Linked DNA regions of Saccharomyces cerevisiae S288C. Each later gene encodes a partner of the first gene's protein in a complex. Each region holds a gene or a part of one and is shown on either strand. Other genes may lie near its edges. A codon is read from its position in the direction of its gene.

Region 1 (4,682 bases):
GATCAAAATCGAATTGACCTGCATCCTTAATGTTCCTGAATTTGCAGACCAATTCATTAGATGAAGACGAAATAATGTCACAAAACCCTTGGTTAGTTCTCAAGTAGTAATTCCCATAGGGAGATTTAATCAACTCGTAATTCGCTGGTGTACCTTGACTCATCCAGTGTCCATTCTTGATTAGAAAGCCTTGCATCTGATCTCCATTATTAATATTTGATAGACGAACGACTCCTCTGTATCTTGCTCCCTTATTAGGTCTCCTCCTGAAAGTTGGGACATAACCTTTTGGAAAAAACTTAATACCATCTTTTTTACAATTTGTTCGAATGGCAAGTGAGTCCATGGGCACAAACATTTCGCTCAAAAGGGAACCCTTCAAGTGGTTATAATACCATACTTCGTTTAAGGAATTATGTCTATCACAGCCTATGAAGACTTTTTTTCCTTCAAACTCTTTACTTAGTGCTGCCTCTATCTGCTCCAAAGAATAGGAATTGTCCACACTTGGGACAATATTATTTTTTTCTAGTGTTGAAAATGTGTCCAATTTCTTGAATAGATTATAAGTTATTCTAAAATAATCATAGACCGCTCTTTTTCTGTCAACACTATTAGCACCCCACTCAGTATAGCACTCTGGTCTAATTGTGCTAATGCACGTGCCATGTTTATTAAACTCGTGTATCCATAAGGACTCATGATTCCCGTTATTACTCTTCCAATATAAGTCTAGGTATTCAAGCAGCTTTTCGCCCGATATTTGCAGGGATGTATCATTATTATTAAATTTCTTGTCATGCAATAAGTAGTAAACATCGTCAATTTGTAAGGACCTATTACAGAATTGTTGGTAGCCACCATGACAATTATCTGGCCATAATCCGTGAATTGTAAATGAATCTAGAGGCCCTAACTCCTTCACTAATTCAGTTTCATTTAAATCGTTTTTGCTTGGAAAGTAATTCCAGAATTGGGTTTGTAAAAATATTCCACCTGGATATTCAAAACAACACGAGTTGTCTATATCAGTTTTATTGGAACATGATAATGGAATGTTTATAGGGCAGTTTGGTTCTATACCCTTATCTGCTCCATTCGAAAAAATTGGTAGTTGTAAGAGACTGTGTAAGTTTTTCAGTAACATTGACACAGTACTTTAGTTTGAAATATCTTAAATAGTTGGCCTTGCAATAGGTCGAAAGTTGAAGCGTTAATTATAAATTCGGTAGTTCCCCTACTTTTCGATAGGTTTGCATTTAAGGGATATTTTAGGAAAAGCTTAGATACCGAAATTTTGTTGATAGAGATGCAAAAGAAGAAAGAATGAAAAAGGAAAACAATTACTGCGCAAGAAAGACGCGTGTGTTAGCGCAATTGTTACGTTGAATGCATTGATATGTAGGGGCATATATATGTATATATACTTATTGTTTCTTTTTCAACTTTCTTTTAGCGAAATCAAGTACTTGAGAATTACCTTCCTTTGAGATGAAAAATTTCTTCTTTTTGTCGTCTTTCCACAACAAAACACCGATATCTTGAGCGTACTTACTTAGTAAGTTGTATTCTTGACTAGTCTCAAAATCAGAATATAAGGAACCTTCATATGTAATGACTCTATCTAACTCTAATTGCCATAATCTGATTTGATCTACGACGGTAGGAGGCAAAACTTGTAAAGGCTCCTTACAGTTGGGGTCCAGCTCTAATTTTTTTTCTAGTTTCTCTTCTGCCAACCTTCTCATTTGAGGATGTGCATGTGTCTCCAGATAGGCAATGATTTGGTCGGCAGTGATACCATTGGTCAATGCTCTTCTTATGGATTCCCTTGTTATTTGACCCAATACCATATTCACAAATCTTGCCTTTAAATGAACAAAAAGAGACAAAACAGCAATTTGCAGAGGTGAATTAGAATATGAATAGATTTTGAAATTTGTTTCTACAATCAATGAGCCATCGGGTATATCTTGATTTTTTAGACCTGCTTTGTTCAAATCATCTGATGTAGTGATATCTGTTGTGGATTTCCCGTTGGCGCCGTCTTCATTTACTGACGGCTCTTCTCTATTCTGTCTCAGTACACTATCCATCGCATTGGAGGCAGATCTGATTGTCTTGGTATCGGAAGTCAGCATCAAAGCTAATTTTGTTGGATAAAAAATGCTATCATTTGAATGCTTCTGGAATACCAAACCATAGTCTCGCATATCTTGTAACATAATTCTTTGTGTTTCGCTTAATGCATCGATTTTATAGGCTTTGCCAACTTCCAATGCGCCTAACATGAAAATAAAATGTAAAACATCGACTAAATCCATTTTGGACGTTTCGATCATTTTTAAATATTGCAATAATAATGTCCATAATTGGGAGTTGATTTCTTGTAAAAGAAATTGGAAGCCTTCATTAGTGATTTTGAACTCTCCAGTAGAGTTTACCTCTTCCATTAGTTTACTGTGTTTTAAAAGGTTCAGTACTTTTTCAGATGGGATTTTAGCGAGGGGAGTGCCAACCATGAAATGTAATATTGTTTCCCATTTATTAGCTGAATATTCATCCAACAAGTCCAGGCTAACTACGTTTTCCTCTACAACCACACCGAATGAGTTTTGAACTTCCCCACCCGTTAATGCGTTCCTCAGGCTGATTTTGAATGTTGGGTTTAGGTTGATCATCAAAGTACCAGATGATTTATTTGGTATAAGAAGATGCAAAGACTTCATCGATTTGATTGCATTCTGAAACTGCAATTTACCATTAGAGTTAACCCATTTATCTAAATCCAACAAAGGTACTTCATTTTCGTTGAAAACCATTGCCATGATAAAAAATTTAGCTAGTGGTGGTAAAATTCTATAGATAGCCAGACATGTAGCTGGTGAGGTATAAAGCCTATTTTGAACTTGTTGAGGAATTTCTTCCAAATACTGAGTGACCGAATGCTTCAGGGAATAGTCACTCATTATATTGTTCACTTCTTCCCTTTGATGGTGGCTTTTAATGCTAAGTTACTAGTATTGTATTCTGACGATGAAGTTAGGTTATATGTGAATATATGATGGTGCGTAATTTGCGCTACAACAAAAAAATACATTCGTTTTTTCAGTAATCGCGTACCTAATAGAAATGCAAGATGAATAAACGTTTTACGCATTTTTCATTGTGGAAAGATTAAGCTGTAGTCAAGTTTTAACCTAGTGCATAGTTCAGCCATTCCAAAATCTTTCCCTTCGCTATCATGCAGCACCTTATTCAATTTTTCCAGCTCCGCTATTTTTTTTTTTTCCAACTCTTTCAGCTGTTCATTCATTTGACTCTCCCACTCTTGTTTCTCAACTTCTGAAAGTTGTCTAAAGTCATCACTTTCCTTTATTTCACAGATTTGATCTTCCATACCGTTGTCAATCTGATATTCCAATCTTCTCTTTTTAGCCTCCATTTCTTTTTCTAGAAAATCTTTATAGCCGCCCATTCTATTGATTTTGATTAAAGTGGAATTTAAAATAAAAGACAGTTCCATCTCACAAATTGTCCTCCATTTTTCTATGGATTTTCTGTTCTCAATGATCTTGTTTTCGCTGAGAATTTTACAAGCCTGCTGTAAGTGATTATTTTCTTGCCTGAGAAGAGTAAGTTGTTTCGTTAACTCCCTATTTTTTATCGCAATTTCCTTCTGGTTCGTAGGCTTCTTCAAGTCCTTAATACCGCTTTTACCGACCCGATAGTTATTAGTGTCCTTTTTTGTATAAGAATGGTTGATGCAAGTATTTTCTTCTTCGTTCACCAAAGTTTTGTCCTTGTCTAGCCACTCTTCCTGATTGTGCATTACTATTAGATAACTGTAATTTGGTGCTTTTCCTGGAAAGTATACTTGTGATGTGGAAGTATTTTAAGTTCAAGTTTCTTGTTTTCTTTCCTATTTATGCGGAAGGTACATAGAAGTTTGGGCGGCTAATACTTTTTCCGCGGCTAATCCTATAGTAAAATGATCACTTTCATATAGAAAGTTGGTATATAAAGTGTCAACTAAGAGAGAAATAGTTCGAACCAGGTGTATTTTAAATCAACTATCGGGAAGTATGGACTGGTGGTATAATCGAATTACATAGTCCTTTTACCTTCATTAGTAGTACTTAAGTGTCACCCGCCTGGGGATTTTGCTCTCATAGAAGTAAAAGGGTAGTGCTATGGGAGCACATTAGGTAGTTCAGTTACGTTTTATGGCAGTCACTGTTTTCGCAAAGACTCCCAGACACGGGCATTAAAATGAAGTGCCAAACATGTCACTTACCCCTGCAACTAGACCCATCTTTAGAAGGTCTTAGTTTAACCCAAAGAAATTTGCTACTTTCAAATAATTCAATTATCACTGCAACGAATGAAAATGTCATCAGCAACAAGGGCATCGAAGCCGCAGATAATTGTGGGCCTCAAATACCGAAGGAGAGGCTGAGGCGATTAGGGGAGATTCAGAACATAAAAGACTTGAATTTAAAAGATGATAAATTAATCACTGATTCGTTTGTTTTTCTTAATCACGATGATGATGATAATGCTAATATTACGAGTAATAGCAGAGAGGACCAGCGTTATGGAAATGCCAACGGAAATGATAATAAAAAAGCTAATAGTGATACTTCCGATGGAACCAGTACCTTTCGAGATCATGACGAAGA
Region 2 (6,460 bases), on another chromosome or scaffold:
TCTTCTTCACCTTTTGTATGATCTTCTGTGCGTCTCTTCTTTGGTGATATGCTCGTATTCTCTGTTTGATCCAATGCACCGTCATCGCCTGCTGTTCTTTTCCTTATCGTGTCCGAAGGTTGTGAGTTTTCTAATGGAACGAACGTGGTAGTTTCTTCATCTCCCGGGGTCTTTCTTTCATATTCTGCATTCTCCTTGGTAATTGCCTCTTCCCCAGAATTTAGCATGGACTGTATTCCAACTTTGTGAACCGTATCGGCAGCGGATATGGTTAGACCCATCTTGAGAGAGTCGCTGTTTGCGTTTGAGCCCTCATTGTCAATATCGACGAGTTTTTCTTGCTCTAATGGTTGATATCCTTCCTGTTGGTGGTCTGAAATGCCGCTGATGGAGGCCGATCTTGGTTTTGGCGACATTGAAGAACCTTTAGTTGTTGGTTTTTCTGCACTTTTTATCTTTGAACGGGTGGAGATCTCATTCAAATTTAAGTTCAAGTGATTATCATGTATTATCGAAGTCATTCTTTTCCTCCTCTCTTCTTCTTTCATTGCTTTTAAGAGTTTCTTATTAGACTCCATAAATGACTTTGCTTTATCGCGATCGTTATATTTCATATTAACAAGCATTTTCTCCCTTGAATCACGTCTTTTATCTAATTCTCTTTGTTGTCTATTCATCTCTGACGTAACCGCCGCAGCAGCGGCAGCTGTTGCTGCTGCTGGAGAGGAAACGGGTGGTAATTTGACCGTAATATTACCGCTGGCGTCATAACTTAATGAAAACTGATCGTTAACCATTAATCGGCGAATATCACTATTGATATCTGAATTAGCTGAAAATTTAATGACGTTGTCAGTATTATTATTATTGGTCGTATTATTACCACTATTTTCGCTGGATGATTTGATGGTTATTATTTTCTCCTTCTCGGTTTTATTTTCTTCAACATTTACCTTTCCTTCCACGTTATTATGAACAGTATCAGTAGTATTCGAATCCTCTGCGTTTGGATCACCATTAGTTGAAATTAGAGAGGCCAGTTCTAAACTTTTAATGTCTATTTCTTGTGTGGCTGACCTTGAAGTCCGAACCGGAGCCGGTTGTGACACAGGATTGGATGGAGATGATGGTATTTGATGAAATTTGGAAGATGGAAGCAAGGAATTTATTGGAATCTCGTTTTTAATCCGATTAGATGCATCTGACTTATCTATCGTATCCGTGGAATTGGATATCATTGTTTCCACTGTTCTCTTTTTTGGGGGCCTGCCTCTTTTTCTTTTGATTTGAATTAAGTTGTTCGGCGTAACAGGTGTTGGTGTGATGGAGCTAGAATTAGCAGTGGATGGTCGCTCTTTACCATTTTCATTGTTCGTTCTTTGCGGTACGGAAGTCAAGGACATATCAGCATCATCTCTTGATGATGAAGGGGCAGATAATAAAAGCGACTCTTGTTTCGTTGATGGTTCCACAAAATACCTTTTGGATTTAGACGTTTGTACTACGGCAGTCGGTAAAGTAATATTTACTGGTGAGAAAGGAGCACCCTGATTGGATGCACTTTTGAGATTGACCGAGGCTGCGTTTGACACTAACTTATTCATTGTGGAGGTCGAGGCATCTTTTCTTGGCCTGCCAGGTCCCCTTCGAGAAGAAGAGGTATTATGCTGTGAACTGGTATTGTTGGATGAATTTTCTATGAGAAGGTTAGAGTGATTTACTTTCGAAGTATTTTGCAACATTGTCGATAATTTGTTCAATCGTTCATTCAAATTATTGACCAATATGTCAGTATTTACTTGATTCTTCATGACATCATCCAGCTTATTTTCCAAAACTGATTGGTTGTGTGATAAAACTTTTAATGAGTTAAACAAATCCTGCACAGAATCAGTGAGGGAAGTGTCTTTGGAAAGCAAAGCCGTCTTCAAATCGTTGCATTGTTTTGTGACTTTGTCCATACCCTCTTTTAGGGCTTCAATAGATGAATGTGGAAAGGCCTCGGAATCTTTTATATGAAGCGGATTTGAACCAAAACCAGAGCCAACTTGTCGTTTTATATCAGAATCATCACTGACTGGTATGTCTGTGATGGATGGCAAAGCTTTAGCGTTCGCATCTGTATCTAGCTTCCTCAAACTATTAGCTTGATTTTGAGCACTGGTAAGTGCTAACGTATCTACGTCATCTTTGGGTCCAGACGGAAGTCTCTGTTCATTGGTTATGTTATCAGAAGGGGCTGTGGTGTTCTCAGACATCCCCGCAACAAACGAATTTTGTTAATTATGTATGAAACTTTTCGTTTGATCTCAATAATACCACTAGCGACTAAATTTTTATGATACTTAGCTACTTTAAACAAGTCCCTTGTGCTCTGTTTGCTGACACTTTTGATAAAATATGCCTGTGTATAATTCTTTTAGCAGTTTATTTCAAACACAAATGGTATTAAAAGGATAGATGAAAAAAAAAAAAAAATTAAAGCCACTAGTAATGATACAATCGTGGTATCACAAGCGCTGAATGAAACAAGTGTGGCTATCTATAGCGGATGCAAGTGGAGAACTTGTGAATCCAAACTGAAATATTTTGCCATCATTTGTTGTCCTTTCCCTTTTCCATTCAGGAAAAAAAAAAAAAATTTGACGTCGCCGTCGCGTCGCAGTCATATAATTACAGCAATTTATCTTGTTGAACGACGCAAATTAATGGAAATTGTGACTTACATAGTAAGTATTAGTAAACGTAGTTAAGGCCACGTGGGAAAGATATGAAAGGAGTGTAAGTAATGGATATCGGTCTAACGAAAATGGAAACCAATCTTTAAAAATGATAGTATGATTCGACAGTAAACTAGAAAAGCCACAACCCGTGGGACATGATAAGGCTGCTCGTTTTTGACGCAATTTTTAGACAATACTGAAATTTAGCATAATAAGCTTTCCCAGTGAAAGTAATAATATTTAACCTAGGGTAGGGGTAGGGAAAAAATAAAAGTAAACCATAATGTCACATTCCGGAGCTGCCATTTTTGAGAAAGTTTCTGGGATAATTGCCATAAATGAGGATGTTTCACCCGCAGAATTGACATGGAGGTCTACGGACGGTGACAAGGTTCACACAGTTGTCTTATCCACTATTGACAAGTTACAAGCTACCCCTGCTTCCAGTGAAAAAATGATGTTGAGGCTAATCGGGAAAGTGGATGAGTCAAAAAAGAGAAAAGACAACGAAGGAAATGAGGTTGTGCCCAAACCGCAACGTCATATGTTTTCGTTTAACAATAGAACAGTTATGGATAATATCAAGATGACCCTTCAACAAATCATCTCACGGTATAAAGATGCAGATATCTACGAAGAAAAGAGAAGAAGAGAGGAGTCTGCGCAACACACAGAAACACCAATGAGCTCTTCTTCTGTTACTGCAGGGACTCCCACACCACATCTCGATACACCACAATTGAATAATGGGGCTCCGTTGATTAATACAGCCAAACTAGATGATTCTCTCTCTAAAGAAAAATTGTTGACCAATTTAAAGCTACAGCAATCTTTACTGAAAGGAAACAAAGTTCTAATGAAGGTTTTTCAGGAAACAGTCATTAACGCCGGTTTGCCTCCATCTGAATTTTGGTCAACTAGAATTCCGTTATTGAGGGCTTTTGCCTTATCTACTTCTCAAAAAGTTGGGCCTTACAACGTTTTGTCAACTATCAAGCCGGTGGCTTCATCGGAAAACAAAGTCAATGTTAATTTGTCAAGAGAAAAAATTTTGAATATTTTTGAGAACTATCCAATTGTAAAGAAAGCTTACACTGATAATGTGCCCAAAAATTTCAAAGAACCAGAGTTCTGGGCAAGGTTCTTCTCTTCGAAGTTATTCAGAAAATTAAGGGGTGAAAAGATCATGCAAAATGATAGAGGTGACGTAATCATTGACAGGTACTTGACATTGGATCAAGAGTTCGACAGAAAAGATGATGACATGCTATTGCATCCTGTGAAAAAAATTATAGATTTAGATGGTAACATACAGGACGACCCAGTTGTACGAGGCAACAGGCCCGACTTCACTATGCAGCCAGGTGTGGATATTAATGGTAATAGCGATGGTACCGTGGACATCTTAAAGGGTATGAATAGATTGAGTGAAAAAATGATTATGGCTTTGAAGAATGAGTATTCAAGGACAAATCTACAGAACAAATCTAATATTACAAACGATGAGGAAGATGAAGATAATGATGAAAGAAATGAACTGAAAATCGATGACTTAAACGAAAGCTACAAGACAAACTATGCAATCATACATCTGAAAAGGAACGCACATGAAAAGACAACCGACAACGATGCGAAAAGCTCGGCAGACTCGATAAAGAATGCAGATTTGAAGGTTTCTAATCAACAAATGTTACAACAGTTGTCATTGGTCATGGATAATTTAATTAATAAGCTAGACTTGAACCAAGTAGTTCCTAACAACGAAGTCAGCAACAAGATCAATAAAAGAGTCATAACTGCAATCAAGATTAACGCCAAACAGGCTAAGCATAACAATGTTAATTCAGCACTCGGCTCTTTTGTCGACAACACTTCTCAAGCAAATGAATTAGAGGTGAAAAGTACCCTACCAATAGACCTATTAGAAAGTTGTAGAATGCTACACACAACGTGCTGTGAATTTCTAAAGCACTTTTATATTCATTTTCAGAGCGGTGAACAAAAGCAAGCCAGTACCGTCAAAAAACTTTATAATCATTTGAAGGACTGTATTGAAAAGCTGAATGAGCTATTTCAAGACGTCCTTAATGGTGATGGTGAATCTATGTCAAACACATGTACCGCCTATTTGAAGCCAGTTTTGAACTCCATTACTTTGGCTACTCATAAGTACGATGAGTACTTCAACGAATATAACAACAATTCGAACTAGAAATATAAAGGCTCTCCAGTTGTTACCACTTTTTACATTCATATTTTTCATCTATTTACTGCATGTTACATATTACATAAAACTTAATTGTGTGTATTCTTCCTTTTTGGTCTTTAGTCTCTATGTAAACAATAGAAAAACGCGGGACTCGATTAACGCTGTGCTGCACTGATGCAGCCGTGCGTGTAAATAAAACATTTAACGTGAAAACGCGCGCGAATGGCTTGTGAAACAAACAAGAAACAAACGGGAAATATTTCAGCATGTGATGTGGCTGAAAATTAGCAAACGATTCGTCAAAATAAATCAGTAATGGTGCTTTAGTTCTATTACAGCTTGCTAATGGTTCAGTAATATTTTCAAAAATTTTGCCAAACAGACCTAAGCACTTGCAATACTCCAGACTGTTAGTTCAGTCATTATCTATCATCTTGGACGATTTTGCAATTTTTTAGTGTAGATGCATCTCATCGACGGGCTTGTATGAATGATATTAAATAGGCAAAATAAACTAGTCTAGCTAATATTCGACTAAATTGCAGCTGCTAGGTCACCATCCCGCACATACCTTAGATATTTTGGAACTAATGGCTAAAAGAAGGCAGAAAAAGAGAACGCATGCGCAGATCACACCCGAGCAGGAACGAGATATTCCTAAATCCATGGTAATCAGAGTGGGACAAACTTCATTGGCTAACCATTCTCTAAACCAATTAGTAAAGGATTTTCGCCAGATCATGCAACCGCATACGGCCGTAAAACTAAAAGAGCGCAAGTCCAATAAACTGAAGGATTTTGTTGTTATGTGTGGCCCATTAGGTGTTACGCATCTTTTCATGTTCACTCAATCTGAAAAAACAGGAAATGTCTCGCTAAAGATAGCTAGAACTCCACAAGGTCCTACTGTTACTTTTCAAGTATTGGACTATTCACTGGGTAGAGATATCAAAAAATTTTTGAAGAGACCTAAATCGTTAAATAATGATGATGTATTAAATCCTCCATTGCTAGTGTTAAATGGGTTTTCCACATCGAAAAGATCTGATGAAGACGATCAGGATGTAAACGTGGAGAAGGTTATTGTTTCCATGTTCCAGAATATTTTCCCACCTCTGAATCCTGCAAGAACTTCGTTGAATTCTATCAAACGTATATTTATGATCAATAAAGACAGAGAAACGGGGGAAATTTCTATGCGCCACTATTTTATTGACATTCGAGAAGTAGAGATCTCTAGAAATCTAAAAAGGCTTTATAAAGCCAAAAATAATCTAAGTAAAACAGTGCCGAATTTGCATCGAAAAGAAGATATTTCTTCTTTGATATTAGATCATGACTTAGGCGCCTATACATCAGAATCTGAAATTGAAGATGACGCTATTGTGAGAGTGGTTGATAATCAGGACGTGAAGGCAAAACATTCTCAAACTTCGCTGTCGCAAAAAACACCCGTTAAAATGACAGATAACGAAGAACGTGAAAAAGGAATTGAAGAAGAAGATGTGGAAATGGAGGAACCTAAGCC

Evidence for each region. Proteins that work in one complex are often made in the same cells at the same time.
Region 2: the proteins of TFB2 (region 1) and TFB1 are in contact, whole or in part, in a cryo-EM structure (PDB 7K01), measured with the Saccharomyces cerevisiae proteins. Residues at the interface, in NP_015203.1 of Saccharomyces cerevisiae: Phe52 (codon at 2,816), Asn53 (codon at 2,813), Glu54 (codon at 2,810), Asn55 (codon at 2,807), Leu60 (codon at 2,792), Lys64 (codon at 2,780), Trp65 (codon at 2,777), Arg109 (codon at 2,645), Thr113 (codon at 2,633); in NP_010597.3 of Saccharomyces cerevisiae: Gln488 (codon at 4,468), Val489 (codon at 4,471), Asn493 (codon at 4,483), Glu494 (codon at 4,486), Asn497 (codon at 4,495), Asn500 (codon at 4,504), Lys501 (codon at 4,507), Ile504 (codon at 4,516), Ile507 (codon at 4,525), Lys512 (codon at 4,540), Lys515 (codon at 4,549).

What each region holds. Positions count from the first base shown.
Region 1 is NC_001148.4:317,799-322,480, forward strand, and holds TFB2 (TFIIH/NER complex subunit TFB2), read right to left. Parts: upstream 2,970-4,682; coding exon 1,428-2,969; downstream 1-1,427. Other genes in the region: RNY1 (ribonuclease T2), read right to left, coding at 1-1,147; MEI5 (Mei5p), read right to left, coding at 3,164-3,832; VPS30 (beclin 1), read left to right, coding at 4,273-4,682. UniProt on the Saccharomyces cerevisiae protein: Component of the general transcription and DNA repair factor IIH (TFIIH) core complex, which is involved in general and transcription-coupled nucleotide excision repair (NER) of damaged DNA and, when complexed to TFIIK, in RNA transcription by RNA polymerase II.
Region 2 is NC_001136.10:1,082,059-1,088,518, forward strand, and holds TFB1 (TFIIH/NER complex subunit TFB1), read left to right. Parts: upstream 1-3,006; coding exon 3,007-4,935; downstream 4,936-6,460. Other genes in the region: SUM1 (Sum1p), read right to left, coding at 1-2,258; SSF2 (rRNA-binding ribosome biosynthesis protein), read left to right, coding at 5,523-6,460. UniProt on the Saccharomyces cerevisiae protein: Component of the general transcription and DNA repair factor IIH (TFIIH) core complex, which is involved in general and transcription-coupled nucleotide excision repair (NER) of damaged DNA and, when complexed to TFIIK, in RNA transcription by RNA polymerase II.